4 linked regions of the Astyanax mexicanus genome follow. The protein of the gene in region 1 interacts with the protein of each later gene in a pairwise test. Links are inferred from orthologs where the notes say so. Each region holds a gene or a part of one and is shown in the gene's direction. Other genes may lie near its edges. The genes, in order: dtx2, rfx6, eif4enif1 and ncs1a.

Evidence for each region.
Region 2: the proteins of dtx2 (region 1) and rfx6 interact in binary tests that used the Homo sapiens proteins (3 or more experiments, as listed by UniProt). The two-hybrid records come from large-scale screens. The link is inferred for Astyanax mexicanus from reciprocal best matches to the Homo sapiens genes DTX2 and RFX6.
Region 3: the proteins of dtx2 (region 1) and eif4enif1 interact in binary tests that used the Homo sapiens proteins (3 or more experiments, as listed by UniProt). The two-hybrid records come from large-scale screens. The link is inferred for Astyanax mexicanus from reciprocal best matches to the Homo sapiens genes DTX2 and EIF4ENIF1.
Region 4: the proteins of dtx2 (region 1) and ncs1a interact in binary tests that used the Homo sapiens proteins (3 or more experiments, as listed by UniProt). The two-hybrid records come from large-scale screens. The link is inferred for Astyanax mexicanus from reciprocal best matches to the Homo sapiens genes DTX2 and NCS1.

Annotation. Positions count from the first base shown.
Region 1 is NC_064408.1:27,943,154-27,950,657, forward strand, and holds the start of dtx2 (probable E3 ubiquitin-protein ligase DTX2), read left to right. Parts: upstream 1-4,172; 5' UTR 4,173-5,390; coding exon 5,391-5,721; intron 5,722-7,504. Other genes in the region: gtf2ird1 (general transcription factor II-I repeat domain-containing protein 1), read left to right, coding at 1-78, 880-917, 1,174-1,289, 1,774-1,842. UniProt on the Homo sapiens protein: Regulator of Notch signaling, a signaling pathway involved in cell-cell communications that regulates a broad spectrum of cell-fate determinations.
Region 2 is NC_064408.1:80,253,410-80,261,109, forward strand, and holds the start of rfx6 (DNA-binding protein RFX6), read left to right. Parts: upstream 1-4,634; 5' UTR 4,635-5,530; coding exon 5,531-5,729; intron 5,730-6,213; coding exon 6,214-6,367; intron 6,368-6,506; coding exon 6,507-6,630; intron 6,631-6,750; coding exon 6,751-6,812; intron 6,813-6,931; coding exon 6,932-7,009; intron 7,010-7,187; coding exon 7,188-7,215; intron 7,216-7,336; coding exon 7,337-7,444; intron 7,445-7,555; coding exon 7,556-7,633; intron 7,634-7,700. Other genes in the region: tdrd15 (tudor domain-containing protein 15), read right to left, coding at 1,787-1,809. UniProt on the Homo sapiens protein: Transcription factor required to direct islet cell differentiation during endocrine pancreas development. Specifically required for the differentiation of 4 of the 5 islet cell types and for the production of insulin.
Region 3 is NC_064412.1:16,242,817-16,250,491, reverse strand, and holds the start of eif4enif1 (eukaryotic translation initiation factor 4E transporter), read left to right. Parts: upstream 1-4,346; 5' UTR 4,347-4,380; coding exon 4,381-4,479; intron 4,480-4,947; coding exon 4,948-5,021; intron 5,022-5,198; coding exon 5,199-5,323; intron 5,324-5,437; coding exon 5,438-5,706; intron 5,707-7,675. UniProt on the Homo sapiens protein: EIF4E-binding protein that regulates translation and stability of mRNAs in processing bodies (P-bodies). Plays a key role in P-bodies to coordinate the storage of translationally inactive mRNAs in the cytoplasm and prevent their degradation.
Region 4 is NC_064408.1:17,896,177-17,904,133, forward strand, and holds the start of ncs1a (neuronal calcium sensor 1a), read left to right. Parts: upstream 1-4,848; 5' UTR 4,849-5,361; coding exon 5,362-5,425; intron 5,426-7,957. UniProt on the Homo sapiens protein: Neuronal calcium sensor, regulator of G protein-coupled receptor phosphorylation in a calcium dependent manner. Directly regulates GRK1 (RHOK), but not GRK2 to GRK5. Can substitute for calmodulin. Stimulates PI4KB kinase activity.

The DNA of each region.
Region 1 (7,504 bases):
CACCTATGACATAGTTCGATTAGAGAAGATCCTTCAGGCTCGAGATGACATCACCATCAATATCAAAACCCCATTACAGTAAGTCAGCAATTGTTTAAGCTATTTGGATAATGTTTAGAAGCAAGGATTATGTGGGCAATAGCAATATTATATCATGATCCATACAAAAAAAATTCTGATGCACAATTCAATTTAAGATTTTTATTCTAAATGTGCTGCATTTCATGTGATCTTCATAGTGCAATATGTAGTTTTTCAGTGTTTGTATGTAAAGATGCAATATACCAAAAAATTTATTATTTATACAGTTAATATTAAAATAATTATATCATAATGATATCGTCCCTAATTCAGACTTCTGACTGAGAGACAGCTAGAAGGGACTGGGTTGGGTAACAAGTCCTCCACACTGCTATAAAGTTTCATACTAATGTTTTGCCATATGATCATGATCACTTTGTATAAAAACAATAAATATACAAATATAACATAAAAACAACTACATTTACATTTAATTCAATTGGTTTTGGTTTGGCCAGTAGTTTGAACAGAAATACTCTACATATTATGTTTTATGAATAGGTTAATTTCTAAAAAATAAATTAAAGGAATAACTTTATCAACAATGGTTATATTTGTTTTTTATTGATTGTTTTTTTTTTTATTATTATTAAAAGTGTATTGAAAGGTGTCCTTAATTATGTTTTTGTCGTTCATTTTAAACAGTTGCCAAACATTTGGGAAAATCATCTGTTTTTGCTACTACACTATACAGTACTTATTGGACTAAGCTGCTTTAATGTCTTGTTTAGGTGAAAGCATGTGTGTAGTACATTTGATACATTTCATACATCTAAAAAAAAACTTTTTTCTGTTTAGGCCTTTTGTACAGCTTTGTCCCCAGACCAGCAATACAGGTAGGTTTACCTTACTTGATTTGATTATTTATCAAATATTGGAATCCCTCCTGTATACAGCCTTGTTTGTTTTTGGATGCACCTAGTCAAATTGCATGTAATTATTATTTTTCTTTACAAATGTAATTGTTCACTTAACAGATTCTCTATAGATCCTATTTATATCTCTATCCTTTTTGTTTTCACTTCAAAAATCAACAAACCATTGCACAAAACTTTAAATTCATGCTATGTTATTTTGCTCATTTTCCTGCAGAAGGGAAGGAAGTGTCAGTCAATAGACGTAAACGCAAGCGGGTCCTGGAAAGCAGTCAAGCGACCGCTCCCTCAGGAGCCGACCCTGCTGCTCCAGCCAACCAGATTCCAGTGATGGTATGGAAAACAGCCAGTAAACAGCCCTGCTTGTACCAGAATATTTAATTCTACATTATAAGTCAGTGATGTTAGTAGTTCACCCACCAGATTTTCTCCATCACCTTCCTTCAAAGAGTTACATGCTCTAAGTATCAGTAACATTTTATTTTTTATATTATTATTATTATTGTACCTGTAGTTCCACACAATCAGTATAACACCTTATAGGTGAAACTACATGATTGGATCAAAAATATGCATAGCATTTAGTGCTATTTATTGCAAAGCAGCTAGCTACTTCTGTATATGGACAGAATTAACAAGTAAGCTTGGCTTGAGTACAATGGCACAGGTAAGATCATTGTGCTGGCTAATTTCAGCCCTCTAAATAAAATGTTTAACATAAAATGTTGATGTATATGGATTTATTTATTCATTAATTATATGAAACTAGTTAGATTTTTGTTTAAGTGTCTGATACTCTGTTGTTCTCTTCCTGTAGCAATGGCCCATGTACATGGTGGACTACAGCGGAGTGAATGTCCAAGTTCCAGGAAAGGTAAAATACTAGTGGACCACCTCAAAGCCCCTCAGAAGAGGAAGAGGAATCCTGCGGGGAGGACGTGGTCAGACTGATATCCGTTATAAAAATCAGCTGTTTTTGGAGTGCTGTGGTTGATCTCGCAGTGTGACGGGGGACCTTTGTGTATGCTGGCAATCACAAACTCTTTGAGCGTGACGACAAACAGTACAAGGAGTTTCTCATTACAGTTTCAGGACGGCAAGTGCTGAGACGTGAATTTGCTGTGCAGTAACCTGGAATCGTTACTTCCCAGTTTGTCAGTGCTTTATTTTTCTGGAGAGGCTGCTTGTAAAAGGAGTGTTTTCATTTTGTTTTATTTTTATTTTATTTTTTTATGTTTGGTGAACAATGCTTTGCATCATACACTGGCAGTCATAAGCAAATGCTCAGTTACACATAAGAGCTTATAATATTTGTCTGTTACAACACATTTAAAAAATCTGGAAAAAAGAAATTCTAAAACATTTCTATATATGAGGAACATATCGTTTTAACGCTTGAATAAGGTGAATAACTTGCTGGCAGGAAATTCCATTTATATGTGGGGTTGAGCGACGTGTGTGAGCGTGCATTTTTATTGGAAAATTGTGGGTGAATATTGATTTTCCCTGTTTTAGGTTAGCAATGTAAACCTCATAGTTCCAGTTCTAAACTAAAGAAGCACAACTGGGCTACCAAGCATTTTGTGGTTTAACAAGATTCAGATCAGTTGTAAAGGAGATTTTTTGTTTAAGTATTACTTTAAGTGAGAGAAGTGATAGATCCCCTGAAACACATGGAAACACATCAAAAACCATTATCAAGCTCATTTGAGCTATTCAAAGTGACTGCCAGTGTAGGGTTGCCTTCTTTTTAAAGGCCTTTGAAACAATAATGGTTGACTGACACCCACACTGAGGACACAAGTGATGGATTCTGTTGGGAAACATTATTCCCAGACAAGATTCATTATCCATAGGATGCAAAACCTCGACTGGTGCTGAGGACGTACACATGCGTACTACTCTCGTAGTAACTGGTTCTTATGCCTAGCTAAATGTTTGTATTATTATTTATTTATTTATTTAAATAAAAGTAAAGAAACATGTATATGCAGGGAATGTAAACAAATCGGCACAATGCATCAAGTGCTGAATGCCATGACTGATAACACTAAAACAGTTAGCTACTGATATATTCCGTTTTTTATTTTATTTTTTTTCTTCTTCTTCTTCTTCTTCTTTTCGCTTCAGGGGTTCATGGTCCTACAGTGGAGCATCCTAACACAATAGCACTAACTTATATTCCAATGAAAGACTTTATCATTATTGTAGTGGTGTAAGTCGCTCCGACGTTCATAGAACGTGGAGGACAAGTAAGATAAAATTTGATGGAGACAACATCATGAATGTATTGTATGTAAAGGAAAGAATGGTATAATGTTATTCTGTAAGGACTGTCTCTGGAATTACCAGTATTTATATGCTGTACCTTAATGCCATTTAGGCCTTTCAAATAAAATGTGTTGCCTTGCGTTCATTACTTTTGAGTGTTGTAGTGCTTTCATGGTTCGATGGTATAATACAAGCTACGCTTTATTTATTTAACAGATTTGTTTTTGCCTCTCAGTGCTTAAAATATTTACTTTAATTTAAGGTCATTTTAAGGATTATGGTAAACTGCAGATATACTCATGCATTTGTATTTGCATCCTGTCCATTAAAATCATTCATCTGTCTCCACCTGCTGGTTAAGACTAAGAAACACATGAAAGAACATTCTGTACATTCTCTACACAAAGTACTGTATCAAACTAGAGACTACTTCAGCTAAAAAGACATAAAAAAAGATATAGTTTACAAATGTTTATCATCTATCTGTAGAATTATCTGTCATCTAGAAAACAGACTTGGTAGCAAAACACTCCAAGCTGCTGTACATCTGAGATAAAGTTAACATAAGTTATATAGCTATATGTTGGATTTTTTTTTCTTTTTTAAATAACACTGTTTCTAGATTTGTAGGACCATTATTTGATTCGATTTAATTTATTTTACATTTAATAAATGCAAATGTGATGAGTATTTTTTTGTCAGACACAAAAACTGTCAGGATAATGTTTCAAAATAAAAGTCTTGCAGCGTTTGAATTGAGAAACCAAAATGTAAAAATCTGATAGTTTTTGTTATTAATAGATATTTTGATACATTTATTTAATCTTGATTTATTTATAGCTTTAATAGAAGCTGAACATGAGTGCCTTTAAAAATATTATATAAACAAACTGACTCTTAATTGTATTAACGCTCTACTTTCTTAGCTACAATATTTTTCAAAGCTCAAATAACGGACTCATACATTTATACTCATTCATACAGCTTTACACTAAATAGCTCAATGCATCAAACAAATACTGGACACGTAGTAACAGGTAACTGTTTTACGGGTTAAGCTGAATTCCATCCAGTTTACTGTGTCGTTTTCTGTGATGAGAGCAGTGGAGGGGACCCTGCGGTTGGCTGGTGGTTTTGGTTTCCGTTGGTTTGTTGTGTTTGGTCGCTGGACTCTGCACAGAGACGGCAGGGCGAGCAGCCGGATGGGTGAGAGGGGGGCTTCGTTCAGTGGAAGAATTAAGGCGTTTTAGAAGACGATAAAGACGACACTACCAGAGACAAGGACGTGGTTTGTTTTACTGCATCCTGGCTTAGCTTAGTTTTAACCGTTTATTCGCTGTTCGGCCTCCTGGAGCTTTAAAAATGGCTTAGCGTTAGCTTCACAACATCGGAGCCGTAGTAACGAGCTGTAAGCTAGACAGCCGAAGCTAGACAGATAGCTATGCTAGCTAAGTAGCTAGCTATCAGCTGGCGGATGAAGATGCAGACTCGCACGACTCGTTTCAGCTTAAGTTAAATAGCTAGGGTTAATTTAAGTTATTTGTTTGTAGCTCGCTAAGCTAGTTGTTGGTTTTGCTTAGCAACCGGACGAACGAGCCCGGTTTTAGTTAGGCAGTTAGCGGTAGCTAGGTTATCAGTTCAATTCGTCGAACTTGGTAGCTAGCTAGCTAGTTAGCTTAGCTTGTACGCCAGTCAGCCCCTATGGAGAGACTTAATACGTTTGGTTGACAAGTATTTACTAGCTACCTAACCAACAGCAGCAGCAGTTTATGTAATTAGTTAGTTAACCTAGTTTAACAGTTAGTCAATGTACTGCTTAGCTGTAGTTTATGCTAGCTTGCTATCGCAGGGATTAGCTAGCAAGTGACACTAACATTTGTGTGTGTGTTTTCAGTTAACTAACTAGCTAACCTAGCTAGTTAGCTCAGAGGCAGCAGTCTATGTAGCTTAGCTTAGTTAGTTAGCTGGCTAGCTAGGTTACCCTAGTGCAGTTTAGGCTAGCTCGCTGTCGCTGGGGTTAGTTATCTAGCTAGCAAGTGACACCACCATTTGTGTATGTGTGTGTGTTTCAGCTAACCTAGCTATTAAGTTAACTAAATAAATAAGTACGCCGAGGTCCTCCTAGCAAGCCAGGTTAGCTAACTAACTAACTAACTAACTAGGATGGCCACGGCTTCTGGCTTTTCTGCCTCCGGCGTGAATGGCTCCAGGAACGGGCCGTCGCTCTTCTCCTCCTCCTCCACCGCCTCGGCCTCTGGTATACCCGGCCAGGCGCAGCCCATGGTGGTGGTGTGGGAATGGCAGGACGACCTAGGTTATTGGCGGCCTTACAGTGGCCAGGTGAGCTGCTACATCGAGCAATGCCTTCAGCAGCAGCGGGGGGCCAGGGCAGGTGGGCCCGCCGCCACTAGCATCTCCCTAGGCCAGACCGACCCCAGCCTGGCAGCCTATATCATCGACATCCCGAGCCTAAAACAGTTTCGGCAAGACACTGGTAAGTCAGGAGCTCGCAAACATACAATGTGGTTCTGTGTGTTTGTGTTGTCATGTTTGTTAATTTAAACTAGTGGTCCCCAACTCTAAGACTTTGGAGAACGTCTAAAGCAGTGTTTCTTTACCACTGGTCCTTGAGACCCACTGCCCTGTTTATTTTACTGGTTCACTGGTTCATCGGCTTTAACAAGCCACGTTTAACTCAATAATAGGTTTCTACTAAGCTCACTTGTTGGATCAGGTGTTGGGTGGCTAAAGACTATTTTTCCCCTGTCTTGCAAACTACAGCTCTGGACAAATAAGAGACCACTTAAAATGACAAGTTCTTTGATTTTACCAAATTGAAAACCTCTGAAATATAATCAAGAGGAAGATGGATGATCACAAGCCATCAAACCAAGCTGAACTGCTTGTATTTTTGCACCAGTGGCATAAGGTTATCCAAAAGCAGTGTGTAAGACAGGTCTAGGAGAACATACCAAGATGCATCAAACTGCAAATAAAAAAAATAAATTCCATCAAATATAGATTTTTGAACTCTTAAAACTGGTTTCTTTGCATTGTTTGAGGTATCTTTTTTTGTTATTTCAGCCATGTCTCATGTCCCATGTCTGCAAATAAATGCTCTAAATGACAATATTTTTATTTGGAATTTGGGAGAAATATTGTCCGTAGTTTATAGAATAAAACAACAATGTTCATTTTACTCAAACATATACCTATAAATAGCAAACTGAGAAACTTATTCAGAAAATGAAGTGGTCTCTTAATTTCTTTCCAGAGCTGTATAACAAAATCAATATTAAAGTTGTGGTAAGATGAAGGTTAAAGGGCTTAAAATCATTATTGATGATGGTTCTCAGGCTTGGTCATGGGACCGCTGTTCTGCACATTTTAGTTATTTACCCTTGTGGGGAGTGTGTTAACCACTACCTCATATAATCACACATACATCATGCAAAAGACTATGCTGTTCATTAAACACTGTAACATAGACTATTAGTAACGGTTACATTTTTCCTTGTCTTTTATCCATATTGTTTCCACTGCCATCAAGAATTTGCTGACTAACAGGGTTGATACATTTATCTGTTGGCTCATCACTGTTTCTTGTACACCACTGAATGTTTAACAAAAATCTATAAGTAGTGCTTCATAACTCTCTCAAGACTTAAGAAGTTTGTTTCAAGTTTGTTTATTGGATGCAGCATGTATGGCAGGTGACAATTGTTATTGTCTAGTAAAATTAGTCCAATTTAGTCTATTTAAAGTAATAATGAGCAAATTATATGTTGCTAAGTGTCAAGTTTTTAAACATAAAAAATGCTAATGCATTGAAATGTAATGTAAAGTTCAATCTCAGCTGAGGTTATTGTTAGGTATTTTCAAACGATACCATTACTTCAACTCAGTTAAATTAGGGAGTGTGTTGTAATTTCCATTCACTTAAATAAATGTCTAATGCTTAATCTTATTTAGTTTATTTGTGATATCTCTGTTTTTTCTGACTTGTAACTATTACATTCCAGCTCAAAGAATTATAAAAAAAAAACATATGTACTTTAGTTATTATTTCACAAACATTGATATTATGTCAGTACTTATGTCTTCTTTTCCCTGATATTAATATTATTATAGTGACCGTTAAGACCCTCAAAAAGAAACTGAGCTAATACACATCAGAAATCACAATGCTGAATTTTCCATGAAGTCTTTAATAATTTTCCTTTCCATTAAATCTGTGAGTCTGGTGCCCCAGTCATGTTTTACAGTTCTCTTTTTGC
Region 2 (7,700 bases), about 52 Mb from region 1:
AAATTTATGCACCTGCCTAACTTTGTTTAAATAATTATTTCATGTAATTTCTCAAATATCACTGTGTTTGTCTGCTATATGATATATTTAGTGGAAATTACTGATCCGAACAGCCAATAATTTATAAAGAAAAATCATAAAAAATGATCAGGGGTGCCCAAACTTTTCATACCACTGTAGATGACACATTTGCACATATACATACATGTATTTGTATTTTTGTACCTACTGGCTGGACTACTGCAACGCGTTGTTGGCTGGAAGTCCACATAAATTACTCCATAAACTCCAGCTAGTTCAGAATGCAGCCGCAAGAGTGCTTACCAGAGCTAGAAAGTTCGATCACATTACACCTATTCTTTCATCCCTACATTGGCTACCTGTTAGATTTCGTATAGATTATAAAATACTTCTCCTGACGTATAAATCCCTCAATGGTCTGGCCCCGCATTATCTACAGGAACTCCTTACTCCTTACAATCCGCCACGTTCACTCCGCTCCCAAGACGCTGGCCTGTTATTTGTCCCGCGTATTAGAAAAAACTATGCAGGAGGAAGAGCGTTCTTTTATAAAGCTCCCCAACTTTGGAATAGCCTCCCTATTAATATACGGGACTCAGACACACTCTCAATCTTTAAATCTAGACTCAAAACATTTCTATTTGCTCAAGCTTTTGAGTAATGTCTCATTACAATTTTCTTCCTCTTAAAGCTTATCCAGCAAATATAAACCCTGTCCTAATCATCTGCTTTCTCTTTCTCTCCCCATGTCCTGAGCTGCTGCTACCAGTGCCCATCCCACTCCAGCAGAGTTTTCTAAAACCATTCTAACCCCTTTTTCTTCCCTCCCCTCTCTGTTCTCTCTCTCTATCTTTCTCACATGTGCTGAGACGCCTGGCCGGCCGGTCTTCCTGGATGTGTCCGTCTGTGGTTCCAGCTTTCAGGAATCAGCCCTGTCCTTCTACTCATCAGAATTATTTCACAACCCTTCTAACTTCTGCTTTTTTTTCTCTTCCTTTCCTTTCTGTTTTCTCTATCTATCTCTTTTACATGTATGGAGATGCCCTGTTCCTGATGTTCCCAGCCTGGCTCTCCACTGCCTGCTGTGTTGTTCTCCGGCTCTGCAACCCTGCACTTATTACCATTAACACACTCAGTATCTGTTTCTGTATTAGCCATAGCTCTATAGTTTGTGCCCATCACATTCTTATATTCATAAATTAGTACCTGTTATATTAGCCATAGTTCACATTAATTCTCTGTACTGTTTTTGTTCTGTTATTTGTTTGTTGTTTGTTTGTACTGAGCGGGTCAACCCGAGTAGGATGGGTTCCTCGGACTGAGTCTTGGTTCCTTCCAAGGTTTCTTCCTCTTAAAGGGAGTTTTTCCTTGCCACTGTGTCACCATAAAATTGGCATCTCTGTGGTGCTGCTCATAAGAGGCGTGGACCTGTTTTTCCAGTAAAGCGGCTTTGTGACAACCTTTGTTGTAAAAAGCGCTATATAAATAAAATTGAATTGAATTGAATTGTCTTTGCACCCTGTTTTTGGCACTGCATCCTTGTACATCTTACCTATGCTGCACTAAAGACTAACAGTATTTTGTTGTACTGTACAAGCCTGTATTAGTACAATGACAAAGTTTAAAAAAAACAGTATGTTGTTGCCTTTTTAGCTTTATTTGGTGTAACAAATACAATAACCGTGCATATCTAAATAAGATTTTTTTGAACATTGACTCTACATTTGTGAACAGCAATGGAGTTCATGCAAAATCAAACGCTCACCTGTCCACTTGTTTCCAGTCCATCTCAACGCCATTTACATGCAAAGTCCTAATGAACCTCCTTGCAATTGACCAAACATCTGCACACACAAATATGGCTGTCACTGAAAAGCGAAGTGACATTACAGAAACCATGCCAAAATAAAAAGCAAATGATCGGCTAAAATATTATCTAAATGCTGATTGCATATTTCAGTAAAAGATGGCCAATACCCATAGACAACTGAATGTTGCACACTCTAGTCACATGAATTGACCAGGTCAAAATCAGTCTACACCAGTTAAAAACATGGAAAAATAACTGTTGGAATTAGACAGAGGAGATGGAAAATTGAGTGTTTTGACACTGAAACATATATGGACAAGCAGCTTAGTATTTGAGAGACTGACCATGTTTTCTACAGTTATATTTCGATGTAACATTTTAGGGCCATGAACTGAAAAAAAAATGAACCGCGAATTTTCTGTACCGTTACACCCCCTAGCTATTATGTGATCAATCGTGGATTTTTTTATTAATGCCAGTTTTAAAAAAAAGTTCTGGACAAATGGGACGACTGACCATAGACCACATAGCTAGGTTCATGGATCGGATTGAATTTGCAGCGTGTGGATCGCCAGCACTGTCAGCGATCTGATTAAGTGTTACTTCACATTTTAAGCAAATTGCAAGGCATTATAACCACGTTCCACCTAAATATATAATTATATGTACTTAACTATAGGCAATTAACAACAGAACAGCATTTCAGCTAATTTACCCGACGTTACCTAAGCAGCTAACGCTAGTTGTCCTAGCTAGGTTACTCAAGGTAACTGCCCTGCTAACCTGCCTCGTTTCTACAGACAAAGATTTCACTGGCTTGGTAACTAACCCAGCTAGTGTTACTACTTTTGGTCACCATAGTTTTTTAACGAATGCTAGATATAAAATCTATTTGCCTTATGTTAATCACCTGCATTGTTTATCGCCGTAGGAATTAACTAATCGATTTCTAGCTGTGCGCTTAACGTTACATTTCTGCCTTCTCTCTCCCTCTTTTTCTTCCTCTGAGTGAACATACTTAGCGTTACATGGCTTCTAATTAGTATTACCACCTTAAATTTCCGTCTATGACTGATTGTACCATTTAAGATGGAAGAGGAATTTTAGCTAGCTTGCTGTTGCTACATGGGTGGCTTCTTATTAACATTTCCACCTTAAATTTCCGCCTATTTACCATTTAAGGTGGACCCAGAAATGTAGTGAGGCCTATAAGGATGAACTATTTAAGGTGGAACTGAAACTATAGGTACCTAATTAGCTTTACGTTGCTAAATAAGAGGCAATTTTCTGAGGGAACAAACAGACAAATACTAACGGTGGTTTAATGTTTCATGTAGCTAGAGTAGTGTTAGTAACGTTGTTGGCTAGCAACAGTTGTGGCTTTTTTTGCTAGCTAACTAACTTAACTAACCTAACTTACTTATCCTACACAGCTAGCGTTAGCTCGGTTAACTTAGTTAGCTAACTAACTTAGCTAAGCAACCTCTAGAAAACTCACTGAAGTTCGCCAGCTATTAACTAGTAATACTACGTATGTTTGGCTTTAAGGTAACTTTTAAAGCACTCACAAGAACAGCTCAACTTTATTTGATGCATTTTTATACACTTCATGCTTTTTAACGCTGATTTCGTTTACCTTTAGTGTGAACGCGGATTTCTCCCTGCGTGTACACTGCAGCTCACTCCCCCTGAATGCGGCTGTAACGGTGCTGCGCGAGGACCACAAGGATGGCGCGAAAAAAGGGCAGTGTGCGGTGAAGTGTGATGAAGTAACGTTAACATAAATATCATATTTATAATACACGTTTTTAACAGTTTAACAGAAGCTCAATAATTGAAAATACTAAAAAAAAAAAGCTAAAAAAAAAACCTGAACTCCAACATTTACATTTGTGCCACTTTCAGGAGCACTAAAATGTATTAAACTGCTATTTTGGAAATATGGTTTGTTTTTCTATGTGAAAATCACTTAAACTAATAGATACTGGCAAGACTGTTAATAATGAACACCTTATGCCAGATAACCAGACATGTATAAAATACTAGACACATAGACTTGAGTGAAAGTACAAGAGCTCTGTCAAAAAAGTGTCTTGAGTAGAACTTAAGTGGTTGTACTAAAGAATTCAAGATTTTGGTACTTAAGTATTGCACTGGATCAACAGATTTACTATTTACAGTAATTGGAAAGTAAAATTATTTATTTTCTTACAAAGCACACTTATATTGTTAGAAGACAATGCGTTTGACATGTAGGATTAATTAAAAAAGCTTAATTAAAAATGCAAAGGATTGTTGGTTTAAAACTTGTATTGGCTAAGCTTCACTGTTGGGTCCCTGAGCAAGGTCCTTAACCCTTACTGCTACCTGGGTGCCCACGTGAAAGCTGCCCATTGACTTGCTGTGTGCATTCAATGCAAGGATGAATTTAAGGCAAAGGTAAGCATGATTGACTTCATCTGGAAAAAAAAATGAAAAGCAGCAGAAGCACACACGTAGGACAGGTCCTGTTAGTCTGTAACAGATTATTGTGTTAATATTTTGTGCACTGTCCTGCTAAATCTGCTCTATTCAGATTAGCATTTAGAGTACAGTTTATAGTTGAAGTGTGCCAAATGCAAGTAGCTAGTAAAAAAAAAAAAAAAAAAAAAAAAAATATATATATATATATATATATATATATATATATATATATATATATATATATATATATATATATATATATATATATAGGAATGTCTTCCTATGTACTGGATCTACTATAATTAAAAATAAAGTGGATTGTTTGCATTTTTAAATCCTTATAATGTAAAATAAAAAAGCAAACAGGACATCTCCTCGACTATTTATAACCCCATCCCCACGCCATATTCATTAACGGAAAAAGGCCATCATAGCAACATTAATGACAACATGTAATTTGAGTGGTGGGCCATTCTCAGCAAAACAATGATATCAACATGGCTTGGTAAAGTCATTCTCTTACCCTGTTTAGTAGTCTGTTTCTAATCACATATGATCTTTTTTGGTGGACTCTCAAGCTAGTGGTGACCCTTAAATGCAAAAAAAAAAAAAAAAAAACAGTAGAAGGGGATAAAATCAGTAACCACAAACATACAAAGTGCATCTATATGGTAAAAACTTTCAGATGAAAAAAAAAAAATAGTGCTAAGGATATAAGGATGTGCATGATCTTGCTGCCCTAGCCCTGCTGAAAGCAGGCACTGCAGAATGAAGGCTCTGGATGGGGCTATAGTCCAGTGGAAAGGCCACAGAACAGGTTTGATGGAGACGATGGCCCCTCGGGTTAATCATTAATACACAGAATCTACTGCCAGTCTTCTGTAAATAAGATAAATGCCCCCAAGGCACTCACCTCAGTGACGTACTATTTCAGACACAGCACAGCTTTAATTAAGACAGGAAGGTGTAACGTATTCCAGCGGCTTGATGTTTGGATGTGGACAAAATGATTCTTTCTAAATTTCAGTTTGAATATTAGTGTAAAGGATGTTTGTGTACACTGTTTCATTTTGGTGTTAGTGATTTTTTTTCTCCAGAACCTGAGATGTGCACCATTACAGTACTGGACCAATGCATCAAACTGGAGTCTCTTTTTTAAAGTGTTTATTGAAAATATCTGGAACGGAGGAAGACTGAGTGTGTCCACAGCTCATCTTTTTGAATGAACCTGGTAACATGCCAATGAAAAGGAATAGTGGAAGTTCTGTGGAGAATAACATGTTTCATCAGCTTCAGCCACCACAGCCAAAGAGGACTTACAGTAATGCTGATGATTTCCACCCAGCAAACTCCAGTGAGCAGCAAGACCTTAGAAAAAACATGTTTTTCAAAGAAACGTTTGAGGAAGAGGAGGAGGATTCAGGAATTAAATCAGGTTAGTATTATCTTTTTCATATTTTTAGATTGGTCAGGATTAGAGCTTTAATCGGATCACATATTAGAGGCATGTTTATTTGTCTAACAGCACCGTCCATACACAGTGGAATAGATCTTATTTTGTCAGTTATAAATATATAGAAAGTTTTTTTTCGACAGTTCATATGATATACATAATTGTGCCACAGTAAAATATTTTTTTTATGGTATTATATTTTATGGTGGATGATGGTAAATTAATAAATGTCTAATGCTGGAATTTGTTATGTTTGTAAATCTCAGGTACAATGTTTATAAAACAAGAGTTTATAAAAATGGCATTTAATGCATATTAAGCTATTTTTCCATAAAGACAGCAGTAAGGAAAGTTGTTTATGATAAAATAATTATTACATTTTCAAAGCAGTATTTTAAAAAATGGCATTGATTAACCAGACCATTGAAAGTATAGTGCAATCTTTGTTTATTCATTTATTTGACAGAGGCAGAGGAAAGCAATGGAACCATATCCTCTGAAGATGACTTAGACCACCTTGAATACTCAAAGAACATTGCTCTGAAGCAAAGTGTCGAAAAGAAAAGCATCAGTCAAATCATCAAAGACAAGAAGAAACAGACCCAACTAACATTATTGTGGTACTTATTTCATTATCCTTATCCAGTTACACCAAGTTAGTTTTATCAAGCAATACTCAATAATATTACATTGACTTTACCTCAATTTCCATAAACAACTTATGCCCTATTTTGTACTTTTTACATTTTCATGAATTAGGCTTGAGGAAAACTATATAGTTTGTGAAGGTGTGTGCTTGCCTCGCTGTATCCTCTACGCTCATTACCTGGACTTCTGTCGGAAGGAGAAGCTAGATCCTGCTTGTGCCGCCACTTTCGGCAAAGTAAGCAGTGTTCCTTCAAATAGTAGAAAAATGATTTTAAGATTTTGTACACTGCAAAAAACAAAAGAAAATTTACATTTATTATTATTTACTGATTGTTTACTTTCTTTATTACTGTAGACTATACGGCAGAAATTTCCACTACTTACAACCCGGAGGCTCGGCACCAGAGGCCATTCAAAGTAAGACAAAGACAGATCACAGAGAGTGAGAGTGATACAAAAATGACTTTTTAATTAATTTGCCAGATCACCAGTTTTAGTCATGAACAGTGTTTAAATGTATTTTTTTATTGTTCCAGGTATCACTACTACGGTATAGGGATTAAGGAGAGCAGCTCCTATTATCATTCAGTTTATTCAGGAAAAGGTCTTACCAGGTAATTTTAAAGCTTCAACCAACAATGCATTTCTGCTTGTTTTTGCTCAGATCAGGAGATTCTAGGATTTAGAATTTTAAATATGTAAATTAATGCTTTATAGAAAAGTATAATGTACTTTTAAAAAAATGTAATAATTGCTATTTTTACTTAATGACTCTTTTATGCATTGTAACAGATTCTCTGGGAGCAAGCTCAAAAATGAGGTTGGCATTTTTAATAGTTGATGTTATGTTTATTGTTACTTAAATATAATGAGGAATTAAATATGAAATATTGTTATTTCTGTTAGTTCCTCAAAACATGTCTTCTTTTGCTAAATCACAGGGGGGCTTCACACGGAAATATTCACTTAGCTCTAAAACAGGAACATTACTACCAGAATTTCCAAGTGCACAGCATTTAGTACTTGATGACTCTGTTTCAAAGGAAAAGGTTTGTTTGCTGTTGTTCTAATGAATAAAATAGTTTATTTGATGTGTTCATCCTGTATATTTGCCGTTTTAATTAAGTGCTACTTTCTTTGTTGATGCGTTTCTTGTTTAGGTGGACACTTTGATAATGATGTACAAAACCCACTGTCAGTGCATTCTCGACAATGCTATCAGTGTCAACTTTGAAGAGGTACGCTAAAATTTTAACACCTACAGAAACAGTTAACTTGAACTTACTGTAAACAAAATATTTTTAA
Region 3 (7,675 bases), on another chromosome or scaffold:
CCTTTAACCGAAATAGACCAAGTACAGTTTACAATGACTGTCCTCTAATATAATTAACAATGTTTAAGAATATAAAATACTTCCTGAACAAACGTTTTTTTTGTTTGTTTTTTTAAGCAAATAGCCTAAGTGTGAAAACACAAACAGCAATTTACTGGGCTGGCTTGCGCAGCGGAGAAACCGTGCAGCAGCAGCCTCCTAGCCTGCTTACGCAGCGGATAAGCCGCGGTGTGGGGCAGCAGAAATTCCGGGATGAAAACACAAAGAAATCTGGGCTAAAAACACAGAAAAAATATGGGGTGAAAACACAAAAATCCGGGATAAAAACACCAAAAATCCGGGGTGAATATGTCTCGTCGGTCAGAGCAAATTGAACATTTTTCAGTGGATTAAAGGGGCCGTGATTTGCTTTTTTTTTATTTTATTTTTTTTACCTCTTTTTTAAAAACGAATATTCGAATATTCGCTTTGAATCAGTGCCGAATATCCGGAGCTCAAAAAACGCTATTCGGGCCAGCCCTAGTCACAATATAATTATATAATCAGTTGTGCAGCTTTCACAATAGTGCAGCATAAAGTACTGAACCTGGCTTGTGATGTAGTGACTCTTCCAAATGTCTTCTGGATCCAGAGGCGAAGAAACTTTCGTGCAAGGTGTCTAAATAAAAAGCATAAAGAATTATTAGTTTACCATAGCCGATCACTCATCTATAAAAATACAAATAATTATATCGGTATGTAAGCACACATTCTCATTCAATGTTTTAGATCAATATTAAAGACATGGACACTATTAAGGAACACAAATAGAATTAAGTAGTAAATAATAGAGTTTGTCCTCCACAATCCCATGATCAAAACCTCATCAACTGAGATGGTGATTTTGGATGAGCTGGAGCTTCACAGCGTGAAGGAAAAGCAGCAACTATTGTTTAGCACCTCCAAGAACTTCTTCAAAACACTGAGAAAACTATTCCAGGTGACTCTCCCTCACGAAGACACTGAGAATATACATACTATATGCTTATAGTGTGCAAATCTGCAATCAAATCTGAACGTGGTACTTAAAAAATCTTAAGTATAAAAACTATTCTGTTTTTTATTAACACTTTTGTTTACAAAATAATTATGCATGTGTTTTATAAAATGTATATTAAAAGAAAATGGAATAGTGTTACAATAACATAAATGTGAACATATATTTTTTTCTGTTTTTTACTTGCATTTAGTACTTGTAAAACACAAGTTTGGTTGCATGTAGGGGTTTATGAGTGGTGTCTAACCGTATCCTGAGCTCTTTAAGTCGTCCACCTCTATTCCATGTGTATCCCACCCGGTATGTGATCTTTCTGATGGAAGTGTGCTGCCTCTGCTTCTTCCCAAAAGAACCTGGTTTCCCAGATTGTTGTCCTGTTGTGTGCATAATCCCTGGTTTTAAAAAGAAAAACACAAAGATCCTAAACAATATTAATTACAATATAACCATATTTAAGTAATATATCAAAACTCAACGCTCCTAAAGTGTCCTTATTCACTCATTTGACATGAATTACATTCTTTCAGCTTTAACAACAAGAAATCATAAACTTTGTTATATACAGTCATGTTCTATAGGTTACAGCAGTTGACTAGTTAGCTAGCTAGTTAACTGTTACCTTAACTAGGTTAACTAACCTACCTTGTCCTACAACCACTGTACAACTGCAGCTGAGCGATTTGTGAAGATTTCGCATTTAAATTACAGCGTAAATCGGATGTAAATAACTGTGTGTAGTTTACTTATATATTTGATAACTATTTTGTATACAGAACTAACAGACACCCATTCTCACCTCTGAGTTACTCATCAACAACAAACTGTAACTGCCGCGTAGAAACAACTTCCGCTGGTGGATTTCAAAGTAAAAGCGCTGCTGAGCTTATTTCAATACGTTATAAATCTATATTACTCCAATAAAATTAACCTTAGTTCTATTTTTTATAAATATAATATAAAACAATGATAAGTAAATTAAGCAGCCCACTCGGTTTTTTTTTTACTATGATAAAAAGAGATCATTTGACTATAAATATTTTAAGGTTGAAACCCATATGTGACCTAAATGGCACAACTAAAATTTAATTACCTGTATTTTAATATTTTGTCGTATATGTCGTGCCATAAATAATTATATGGAATATAAAACATTTTATTCAATATTTTAAAAGGTTAAATTGTTGGAACAACGCTGCTGAAGCTAAAAACACTAACACTTTTACAGGGAGTGAGTTTTATCTCCAGAACTAACCCAACACTTCTACAGTCTGTAAATAAAGTCACATGATCACACATTAACACACGCTGTCCTGTAGTGATGCTCTCAGGATGTTCAGTATATGTCACTTATGGACGTCATAGTTTTTTTTGTTTTAATTATTATGTTAATAATAATACTACTACTACAAACAATAATATTAATATAGCAACATAATAATGTTATTGTTGTTATTATTATTATTATTATTATTATTATTATTATTATTATTATTATTATTATTATTATTATTATTATTACTGTTGTTGTTGTCAGAAATAAAAATAAAGAACTCTACAAAAAGAGGAGCGCTGATTAAAAATAGGAGGCCAGTCTATTGCCTGACAAATATTAGATGTCCCACTCTGGGGCTGCACTTACCAATTATTGCGAGGTAAAGTTATATCTAATATATAAAAGTGTTTAATTGACTTCAATTAATAAAAAAATATTCAAAAACAAGATGTGTGTGTATTTTCTATTGTAACGAAGGCGGCAGTGGTCACTATATAATCCTTGATTGGGGCTTCAATCAGAGCCTGTAGTGATCTGGAGAAATTCGCCGCTGAACGTCGGGAGCCCCGACACACACAGAGTGTGTATGTATGCGTGTGAGAGTTTATCAGCTATAAACTACACAGAGCTTATCGGAGTCGCGGTTAGTCTGTTCCGCGGCTTTTAACTCATTATTCTGAGAGAAACCGCCGCGGACTGTCTGTGTTTTTTTAAGCGCTTTAAGTCGTTTTTTGTTGAGCAGTGAGTGGAAAATCATTTAGCGAAGTTAGCTAGCATATTAGCTGGATTAGCCCACTAGCTTTGTGCTGTTTTTTTTCGAAAGCTTCCGAGCAAAGATACCAAACCGGGAAAGCTATTGAGAAAGATAACTTAGCTAGCCTAGTTAGGTTGTAGCTGTTTCAACTAATGTTAGCTATGCAGGCAGTTATGTGCTAGAAGGACAGGTTAATACTTTAATACTGTGTCGATACTTGGATACTTGGAACGCTAGCTAACTGACGGTGTCCATTTGTTGAGCGTTTAGCCAACTTGGCTGGGAGCTCCTGTAGCTACTAACGCAGCGCTAGGCTGCTAAACGCTGTTTTCTAACGCTAAACCTAGATAGCCCGGTATCGTAAAAGAAACATTTTATGTTTCTCTTATCGTTTATATTAACCAGCTAACTGAAGATACAACCCGTCTAATTGCCTAAAACAATCCAGCTAGCTCGACAGCCCGTTTAAAAGTTAGATAGATAGCTTAGTTAGCTAGCTAGTTAGCTAGCTAACGCTAGCTAGCTAGCTAACTGTAGCATCCGAGGAGGAAGGGAGAAGCCTGGGTATATTTTTCTAAGTACAGGTAAGTTGAATAACTCGAGTAAAAGTCAATAAACTAGTGAAATATTCTTTGTTTCTGTTTGGTGTCAAATCCAAGCTAACTAACCTGGTACATTTGCTCGTTTTAATATATGTTAGCTAATTGTTGATGGCTAGCTACTAGCTGATTTCTGGACGGTGAAACACAGGTGCTTGTGTCGATTTATTTAACGCTATATATTTTATGTAGCAACCTTTTAACGTGAATACATATACAGAAGAGATTTTAGTCGCAATAACGTTATATTGTATAAGTATTTGACAGTTACGCACAAGCTATTGATTAGCTAACGCCAGCTAATTAAGTGTTATAGTTAGCTAACTACATTATTCTGGCCTGGCCTTCACAGGAAAGTAACTTAATTGTAATTCTGAAACATTTTTATCTGTGACCCTAATAAAGTATTTAACACTGGTACTCAATACTTTAAACTCAGAAAACCACATTCGCATTATTAGGAACATTATTGGCTACCTCAGTTTCGCGTAGACCCGCTGTTCACACGTCACTGTTCCAGTTCTCTTTTGTTTAATGAAGATACTAACTGTACCCGTATGGTGATCAGATTTGGTGGTAGCTGCCGTTTCTAAATTATATCTTGTTTAAGATTTTCTTTCTCTCCTCTTTGTCATAACTGACTAATGCCCATTGTTTTTTAGTAGGTGTTTGGACTGTCTAAAGAAGCTATACTCTGGTTTGGCTTCTTGCTTCAGTCATGGAGAAAGATGCCTGTATAGAGGATCAGGAAAATGGCAATATCACTGGGCACACAGTGAAGGATTCTGTAGTAACCTCTGCCTACCGATACACCAAGGTCAGGATTATAGTATGCTGCTTAATCTCCAGTTGTGTCTAGGGCTGCACAATATTTGGTGGGGGGAAAAATATAACTTTTTTTTCTGTTGCAATATGTGTCTTCCAGGAATTTAGGAATTTTCACCATAATAAATGATGCTCTCTGATAGAAATAGAGCTGTTATTGAAAAAGAGATGCACAAGTTTTTTTATTGTGCAGCCCTAGTTTTGTCCAGTTATACATGCAACATGTATTCTGTTACATAAGTAATGCAAGTTTAAGAGTCTAATAGTCTAAAATGCTGGTATTTATTATGTAACTAGGGGTCAGCTATTGGAACATTATTGCAATACATGTTGTATAATAAATAATATTGTAACATTTATTTTTGAAAAATTATTACTATTACTAAAACTATTATTAAATATTATTATAAAACTATTATTAATTCCTAAATAAGATTTATTTTATCATTTTTTTTAACAGGAAGAGCTGTTGGAAATCAAAGAGTTACCAATCTCTAACGAAAGACCAGAGTGTCTATCGGAGAAATATGACAGGTAATCTTTTATGTGATCTTGGTACAGTGAGGAATTTAGTTATATTTTCACACATTAAAATCTATTAATCAACTTATTTAGTGTTTCTTTGATTCCTGTGTATACAATGCTTAGTTTCCAGATTATTCTGAAATGAGTGGCTAATCTAAAGTACTAATTTGTTGTTTAATTCTATAGCGATGGTGTGTGGGATCCTGAAAAGTGGCATGCTTCACTGTACCCGTCAGAGCGAAACTCCCCAGTAGATGGATACAAGAGAGACTTTGCTGAAGATAGGGTGTCTTTGAAACGCAGAATTGCAGGTAATTTTTCCACTATGGGACTGCTGCACTCTTACTAATCTGAATATTAATGACATTTCTTTAAGGATAAACTTTAATGTTAAACTTATGTTTTATATGAATCTTTCCTTCTAGACCCAAGGGAGCGTTTAAAAGAGGATGATTTGGAGGTGGTTCTTAGTCCACAGCGCCGTAGTTTTGGAGGTGGCTGCCAAGTGGCACCTACCTCTTTGGTCCGGCGTCCTGTCAGCCCTCTGGAGAACAAGGAGAACGAGTCACTCCGTTTGGGTGGTACACGACGTATTGGAAGTGGCCGCATTATGGCGACACGTGGGTTTGAGAGGGACTCGCGGGTGGACAAGGAACGAGAGAGGGAACGAGACTTTAAGGACAAGAGATTTAGGGTATTAAATTTAGTTTCAAGTACTAAGGCTTTTTCAGTGACTAGGCGTTTTAAAGTAACAAGTGGCTAATTTTAGTGCAAAGATTGTGGGTGGCTGCTTATACAGTGCATCTGGAAAGTATTCACAGCGCTTCACTTTTTTCACATTTTGTTATGTTGCAGCCTTATTCCAAATTGTTTTATATTAATCTCTTAATTCAAAAATCTACAAAAATACCCCATTATGGCCATGTAAAAAAGTTTTCTTGAGATTTATGAAAAATTTATCACATTTACGTAAGTATTCACAGCCTTCGCCATGAAGCTCAAAATTGAGCTCAGGTGCATTGTTTCCACTGATCATCCTTGAGATGTTTCTACAGCTTAAATGGAGTCCACCTGTGGTAAATCCAGTTGATTGGACATGATTTGGAAAGGCACACACCTGTCTATATAAGGTCACACAGTTGACTGCATGTCAGAGCGCAAACACCAAGCATGAAGTCAAAGGAATTGTCTGTAGACCTCTGCGACAAAATTGTCTCGAGGCACAAATCTGGGGAAGGATACAGAAACATTTCTGCTGCTTTGAAGGTCCCAATGAGCAAAGTGGTCTCCATCATTCGTAAATGGAAGAAGTTTGGAACCACCAGGACTCCTTCCTAGAGCTGGCCGGCCGTCTAAATTGAGTGATCGGGGGAGAAGGGCCTTGGTCAGGGATGTGACCAAGAACCCGATGGTCACTCTGTCAGAGCTCCAGCATTCCTCTGTGGAGAGAGGGGAACCTTGCAGAAGGACAACCATCTCTGCAGCAATCTACCAATCAGGCCTGTATGGCAGAGTGGCCAGGCGAAAGCCACTCCTTAGCAGTGTTGGGAGTAACGGCGCTAAAACTAACGCCGTTACTTTTTTTCAGTAACGAGTAATCTAACTAATTACTCTGACTGTAACTATAACGCCGTTACCATTTCCGACACCCCGTTACTGCACGTTACTTTAGCCACACTTTTTTTTTACTTCGCTTTGCCCTGGTTAACCCCTCCTCTGTCCGGTGAACTTGAGCTTCTGGCCGCTGTGCCTGTGGTTTGGCGTGGTGAAGTGAGGCACAATTGTGACAATTTGCGTGCTCTAATTAATTCAGTGATTGCCTTGGACAGCCCAAGTTCCGAATTAAGGACGTTAAACTCTTTTTAGCTGCTCCGGTTTTTGTGGTGCTGCTGCTTTCTCTTTTAGAGAAAGCTCCTATTGGCTCCTATTTTTTATTTTATATAAAGCTCTGATGTGATAATCACAATGTTGCTAAGTAACCAATTATTATTGTTCACTACAGCGAACGAAATGGCGAAAACTGAAAGTGAAAAAAACATTTGTGTTAACTGAATCTAATAAAAAGGTAATTAAAAGGAAAAAACATAACTATCTCGAACTGTATTTTGTGTTTATAAAACTAACTAAAACGAACTGAAATTACAGATAGAATACCCTCATTTTCGTGTTTAATTTATTTATAAGCGCTGTTGTACAGCGGAGTTGTACAGCGGGCGGTGTTGTGCCGAGCGCGCGGCACCTCGTGGTCCTTTAGTTCTTGTGTAAAGCGCTCTCGCTAGCAAGCCCACCCTAAAAACTTACTGAACAGAAAAAATAAAAACAAAATAAAATTAAACTATAATAATAATGAAAAATGTAATCACGTAGCTCTGGGCGCACGTGAACGCCTCCGCGTTTGACTTTCAGCATTGTGTGTAGCTGTTCTTAAAAAACATTTAAATTAAATAATAGTTCTATGCTTTTATGTTAGTGTTAATTAACATAATTCTGATTATATTTCGCTCATTCAATCAGCCCAAAAACAGACAGTTTATGGGGCGGATCGGGTCCGGCTCATAATGACAGTTCATGGTTCAGGCTTGGGCAGAACGTGCACGGGCTCCGGCTGGGTCGGGTCGGATTTTTTGCGCCCGATCTAAGCTCTATTCCCTTTTGGTGAAACT
Region 4 (7,957 bases), about 10 Mb from region 1:
CTGTAAATTGATGGCACACAAAGATAAACACAGCAGACACATCCATCTGCTGATGCCCACTCCGCTCATTCTGAGTTCTCATTCTGGACCAACTTTATGCAAATCAGCTGAGTGGCCACCAGTCACATTATTGATATGTGGCACGGTACGCTATGCAAACCCACTCCTGAGCTCAGCCTTCTGCAACGGGCTGCTTTCTAAGAAAGACACCTCAGACAGTCAGCATCCAGAACAGGCTGTCCTGTCCCATCACCCTAAACACTGCAGCTCCCCTGGGCTGTGTTTCTATTCTCTGTTGTAACACTGCCTCACCCATGACTGCGTGCAGATCACAGCAATCAAATCAGGAAATTTGCTGATAATGTAACAGCTGTAGCGCTTCAGCAATGATCAGACAGCCTAGAGAGAAGAGGTGAGAGAGCTGATGCAAGGACAACAGACTATCTCTGAATGTCAACAAGAAAAAGCGAGACAAGAGAGGGATGCAAATGCCACATAGCACTTTACTATTAAATATATATATTTCAATATTTTAATGTTGATGTCTTTTGATGTATACAGCATTTCCAATTGTTTGTGGACATTCATTCTAATGAATACATGCAGTTATTTTAAACTGCAACCACTGAGACACAAATGTGCAAATGGGCACATACACAGCTTGTCCAGTTACTATAGGACTATAGATAGTAAAACACTTATAGTGATCTATGGAATGATGGTGCTCTATGTAGTATTTTTGGGATGAGTTGGTGATGATGTGGCGTAGTCACACTCTTTATTTAGGATTCTTCTGACTTCATAGCATTTATTGTTCATTATTCACATCATTGCTCCAAATTCTAGTAGAAAGTCTTCCCAGAAAGCAGGATAATATACATGATAAACTTTTAAAACTCTTAAAGGCTTGGTTTTGTAAGAAGTATCCCAATGACTTCGTCTACATATTGTAGAAATGTTATGTGCTTTGAGTCAAAGAGATACAGTTGCCAAGATACAGTTGAACAAGCCTATTTACAATCTTGTTATTTTGCCTCAAAATAAAACATGCTGATTTTCCCTCACGATGGGTTCCTAAAAATGATTTGCTCTTATTTTTTTGGCTTATTTATGAACTCCCAGGAGCCAGTTGTTAGGTGTTGTACTTGGTAACAACTTAGTATTAGCCATGCTAGTTTTTTTAATGAACAACACAACAGTGTTTGAAGTTCACAGTATGTAACATCCATGTACTCAACTCTCATAATTAAACAGGTAAATGCAGTGACTCATTTGTTCTTTCATTTGTTTTTCGCTGCTGGTAATAAGTGTTTTGCTGTCACCAGTGGTGAGTAATTGCTGAATGTGAGAAATGTTATAAAGCTGAAAAAAATTCTGTGATTATGCAAATGTCAAAAGTGAGTAACCTGCAAGCAGGGAAGGTCTCACTGACACACTATTTGTGTCAAATCAGCTGCTGGACATGCTGGATACTAGAGGCAATTGGAACCTACTAAAAAAGTGTCATTTATGTAGATATGGCATTGAGTCACAGAGGATGTGTTTATGCTGTTATGCAGTATTATATTTGGAAAAAGCAATGAAAACTTTCTCTAGGATTTTTATTACCTGTTACCAGGGGTAACAGGTACGCTCACTTACAAAAAATAACACAACATGGATTGCTGCAAATCTCTGCATTCAGTAATGTCTCGTGCACAACAAGGCTAGACATGCCTCTTTTTTTGACCTTTTGCCCATTAACAGAAAGGGGCATGTCATTGGACTGAGAGAAGCATGATAGTCATTTCGACTAATTGCCCCCATTCAGACTGTCCATCAGTCAACCATTGTCAGCATAATTTGTAGTTTTTTTTTTATCAAGAAACAAAAACCCAGACAGCTACAGAATGGAAATATATAATCTTTAGTGATAAGTCCATATTTCCTTCTGGAAATTTAAGAGAGGAGGGGTTCAAGTGTTCAATTCTCTAAATGCTGTGGAGTGACACATTGCCCCAACTGCTGGTGTGATGATCTTGGGAGCCATTGCATATGACAGTCAGTCACCCCCAACTAGTGATATGAGGGACACTAACAGCTCAGTGATATGTGCTTTGAATCTTGTGGTCACATGTGTTGTCTCTCATGGTAGGGCTTCCAACTGACATTTTTTAGAAGGATAATGCTCACCCACACACAGCAAGGGTTTCATGGCAATGTCTCTGCCAGAATGCAACACTCCATTTTTTATAGTAAGTGTAATTTATGAATAGTAACAGTCCATTAATGATCCTTTAAGAAACCATTTTTGGTAACAGGTTTAGTGGACAGTCTATATTTACCAACAGTAACAAATTGCCATTTGCTTGTTAGGAATAGATGTTCTGTTTCTTAACCGCCAACAAAAAATAAAGTAATGGGAAGAATGTCTTAGCAACATATTATACAGAAGAGAATATTTTAATGTCCAATGTTTGTTCAAAACCTAAAGGCCTTTTAGATATTGTTTTCCAGGAGTATTGTACTAAAGGATGTCAAATTATATTGTATTGTTATGTCTGCTTATGACTTATTATTACCAATGTCCTGTCAGTGTGACCTTTATGAAGTTTTCAGTGACACATTCGGGGCATGCTGTAGAGGCGATTGGATGATAGGGTAAAAGGAAAAAACTTCCATTGGAGGGAAAAGGGGACATATCAGGAGATGCAGCCTACTTTTAAAGTGGCCTGAGCAAGATCTATTCTAATCTAGGGTAGCCATAGTCTGCCAACTCAATATGGTGTGTTCTCTTAGGGAATGGGGGGAGTGGGGGTGGGGGGTATGGAGTGACACAGCAGGTGATGCTGCTGGCAAAAGACTGCAGGCTGCTTCTGGGGCAGCATGGCGCTAACTCAGCACTATCCATCACTGCTTCACTTTTTCTGCCCCTTTTTTAAAGCATCTCCCTTTTGTAAGCAAAGTCTCTGTCTGCCTTAGTCTTTCTTTCAGTGACTATCGTATGCTTTTTGTCTGTCCATCTCTGTCTTTTTCCTTTCTGCTTATCTATCCTTCTATCTCTATGCATCTCTGTCTTTTTTCTCTCTATTGCATCCCATGGGAAACAAAATGATCCAATTTTGTTTTCTAGTGTAGACCCCACAAATTTCACAGGATTATCTAAGAGGTAAACAGACAGTTGAAATATGAATGCAGTCATGCTTAAAGGAAGTGGTACTGGTACATACTGGCAGATATGTTTTATAAATGATGAGACTGGTCACTGATTGAAATATAATTAAGATTTTCTAGAGTATGTTTACAGAGTTTACAAGTCCCAACTTTTAACACAAAAAGCCAATTTGCTATAGGAACTGGGTAGCTGCCCACTTTTAACACTGGTCATTGCCAACAATATATGTAACCCTCACCGATAAGTGCTCATCAAACAGTGTGATCAGGCTACGTCAGGATGTTCATGCTGGTGGACCAGTATGTTCTTGCTGATCATATTGGTAAACCAGCATGATCAGGCCGGTCATGCTTGTCAATCAGCGTAATCATGATGGTCATGATCATGCAACTTCCTTGGTAATGCATGTCAACCAGTGGTCATACTAATTGACCAGTGTGTTCAGCTCTGGTCCTGCTGGATAACAAACATGTTATCATGATGACAGTTCTAATTAAGAGTCAACCAACCAACCAGTCAACCAACGTAGTAGTCAAGCTGGTTATATTGGTTAATTATGGCCTACCAATGTGGTCTTGTCATTCTGGTCTTCTCATGTTGGTCATGCAAATACCTTGTTAATGCTCATCAACCAGTGTGTTCAGCCTGGCTATGCAGAGGTCCCACATGTCACAGAAGTCTTCCGCATTTTAATTGGAAATTGTATACAACATCCTGAAAATCATTAGTGTGGACAAACACAGTAAGAAAGTGACAAATAAAACACTCTCTTCATACTTAGTCGACCAAAAAATTTGACTTAAGTGGCAGGGCTTTGCTGATTCAGTTAACACGCACAGGAGAGATAGACATAAACACAGTGCAGCACTATAAAAATAAATAAATCTGTGGTCAGAGCAAAGGTGGTCAGCCTTGAGCAGGTCAGGCTTTCTTTTTTATTATCGTTGTTTTGTAACAGATTTTTTTAAGTTTTAATCTTTACTTGAGGAATTTAAATGACCACAAGTTCAATTCATGTTTACCTCATATTAATACATTTTAGAGATTGTTTTAATGTTAAACTTGTTTTAGTTGTATTATTAATAGTATACAGCTCTGAAAAAAAATAAGACACTTAAAAAGGATGAGTTTTTTTTATTTTACCTGAAAATACAATCAAGAGAAAGATGGATGATCACAAGCCATCAAACCAAGCTGAACTGCTTGAATTTCTGCACCAGGAGTGGCATGAAGTTATCCAAAAGACTGATGAAGGAGAACATACCAAGATGCATGAAAACTGTGATTAAAAAACAGGGTTATTCCACCAAATACTGATATTGATTTCTGAACTTTTTACTTTATGAATATGAACTTGTTTTTCTTTGCATTATTTGAGGTCTGAAATCTCTGCATCTTTTTTGTTTTTTTCAGCCATTTCTCATTTTCTGCAAATGAATGCTCTAAATGACAATATTTTTGGGGGGAATTTGAGAGAAATGTTGTCTGTAGTTTATAGAATAAAACACTAACGTTCATTTTACCCACAGAGAAACTGATTCAGAAACTGAATCACTTCTTCTCTGACCACTGAGAAGTGGTCTCTTAATTTTTTCCAGAGATGTATATACTATTATTTTAAAATGTAAAATTATGGTCAGAGAAAGGGGGCGCGGCTTAACGAGCGAGGGCGGGGTCTGTGTTGTCAGGGACGACGGTGCCAACACAACGCGTGGCGTTCAGTCATACCCACCAGCACCCTCCCACACACACACGCTCTGTCTCTCTTTCATTCACACACACACACACACACACACACACACACACACACACACACACATTCTCCCTCGCACACACAGACCCCTTTGCTCAGCCAGTGTTTGGCCTCACAGCGGACCGAGGTTTCCCCGGCTCCAGCGGGCAGGACCCCCGGACAGGAGCGCGTTCCGCGGGCTCGGGCTGTGACTCCGCCGCTGCTGGAGGACTTGAGGAGAGGCGAAGGGAAATAAGGGACAGGAGCGGAGAGATTACGGGCTTTCCCGCTCTCTTTTCCTCCAGCCTGGGGGAAGAGAACCGCGTTTAACCCCGCATTTCTCTCTCAGTCCTTCTTCCTTTCGCTGTTTTCACTCCTTTTTTTCCTTCTCTTTTTCGTTTTCCGCGCTAAATGTGAGCGGGAAAAGAGTGGCAGTGGGGGCGGGGGACACATTCGGGGAGAACCGGGAGGAGAGATGGGCAAATCCAACAGCAAACTCAAGCCTGAGGTGGTGGAGGAGCTGACCAGAAAGACCTACTGTGAGTACTGCCCTGGCACGCATGGGCAAGAAGTCACACACACACACACACACACACACACACACACACACACACACACACACACACACACACACTTACATACTTACAGTCAATTGGCTTGTTATGGGTCATGCTCTGTATTTCTATATATTCTGAATGCATTTCAATTTATTTTATTGTGTAAATCTGATGACGAAGTAACGTGTAACATGTTAATTGAGGTATTGGTTAAGTGAGGTGTATGTTAAGTGGGCTACAGATTAACTGAGGTAAATGTTAATTACATTTTATGTTGAGTAAAGTACATATTAAGTGAGGTCTATGTTAAATGAGGTTACTGCAAATTCTCTGTTAAATGAAGTCTAGCTTAAATGAGGTAATTATGTGTATTTTAAGTGAGGTATGTTTTAAGTGATGCATAGGTTAGGTGAGATTTACACTGCCAGGCCAAAAAGTCTCCACCTGGATGTAAGTAAGTAAATGATGTGGGGTTGTTGCTGCAGTTGGTCAGGTCTAGGTTCAGCAACAGTATGTGCTGAAAGAATAAGGCCAGCTGACTACCTGAATATACTGAATATAGAGCAGGTTATTCCATCAATGGATTTGTTCTTCCCTGATGGCACGAGCATATTCCAAGATGACAATGTCAGAATTTATGGGGCTGGAATTGTGAACGAGTGCTTAAGGGAGCATGAGATCATCATTTTTACACGGTCAGACTCTACCATCATCAATGCAAGAACTTGGTGAAAAATTAATTCAACACTGCATTGAGATCTTGTGACAATGCAGAAGTTTATCAAAATCTCATAGTGAATGTGTGCAGCAATCAAAGCTAAAGGTGGTCCAACCAAATATTAGAGTGTGTGACCTTTATTTTGGTAGTGGCTTTTTTTTTGGTCAGGCAGTGTATTTTAGATGAGGAACTGTTTAAATGAGGTGCGTGTTACGTGGGCTAAAGGTTGAGGTAAATGTTAATTAAATTGTGTATTAAGTGAGGTATATATTAAGTAAGGTGTATGGTAAGTGAGGTACAGGTTAACTGAGGTAAATGTAAGTGAGGTACAGATTAAGTGAGACATAAGTTAAGTGAGGTGCATGTTAAGGGAGGTGCACGTTAAGTGATGTACAGATTAATGAGGTATATGTTCAGTGAGGTATATGTTCAGTGATGTGCATGTTAAGTGAGGTAAATATTAAACAATGTGTATGTTGAGTCAAGTACAGTTCAAATGAGGTATATGTTAAGTGCGGTATGGTAAGGTAAAGATTAAGTGAGGTGCATGTGAAGTGCTGTACATGTTAAGTGAGATAAATATTAATTGATGTATGAGTCATGTACAGATCAAGTGAGGTAAATATTAAATGCTGTGTATGTTGAGTCGTGCAGTTCAAGTGAGGTACATGTTAAGTGAGATATGGATTAAGTAAAATATGAATTAGGTGAAATATAAGTAACCTGTAGTACAGATTAAGTGAGGTAAATGTTAAGAGAATTGTTCAATAATTTAAATGTTTTTTAAGCCTGCGCACACTACTAATTGATTGTAATAATAGCCAACAAAATGACATATCCAGGGCATGCTTGCATCCTTCCTTGTTACATTAGAACAGAAAAATAAGATAATAAGATTGTTAGTTTTTTCCAAATAAACATTAGTTTGTAGAGTGCCTGAAACCATTCTTTGGTTGCCTTTCTGACATTTTCACATATTAAGGATGCCTTCATTGAATTCGCTCTTTTGAGGCATGACTATCTCTCCTTGAGAAAATGCTGCTTTTCCACTACTGAGCTCTGTGTTGTGCTGCAGTTCTCCTCCATGACAGAGAAAACCAATAGCCCAACATCACAGTGGATCACAGAGAGACGCACTTCGATTGGGTTAAATGATTCAAGTGAGATTAGACTGCCAGGGCTTGATAATGGGTAATGATCCAGCAATGGAACAGGTGGAAACAGTACACAGCTGGAGGACATAAAGCAAATGTGCCAATTGATTTGACAATTGCCTTTTCTGCAGGGAACAGGGTTTTAACCAGATTGTGTTAAGGCCTGTTCACTGTTTCCACAAAACAAATCAGCAAAACTCAGAAAGTCAGCATAAGGAGTGTCTGATAAACAGCAGAAGAAGAAAAAAGTCTAAACTTAATAAAAATTGTAGACATTTTAGAGTCTAGTGAGAGCCTAGCATGTGTTTGATTAACATAGAAGATTAAAGAATTACGGTAGATACTAAATATACAAAAATATACTTGTATTTTCAGTTGGCATGGAGTGATTCCAATATATTTCTGATACGTAAAGGCACATGAAGTGACCAAATATAAAAGGGGTAATTGACACATTTACAGATTAAGAAATAGTTCAAAAAAACACTTATATGCACACTGTGCACTTTTTTTTGTTTATATCAGTGTATTGTAGTGCGTCAGATGATTGGTCTGGCATAGGAAGTAACAAGCCTGTATTCTGGCAAGGCAAGCAAGTACAACACACTTTACTTATCAAAAACCATGGACAAGCCTCCTAAC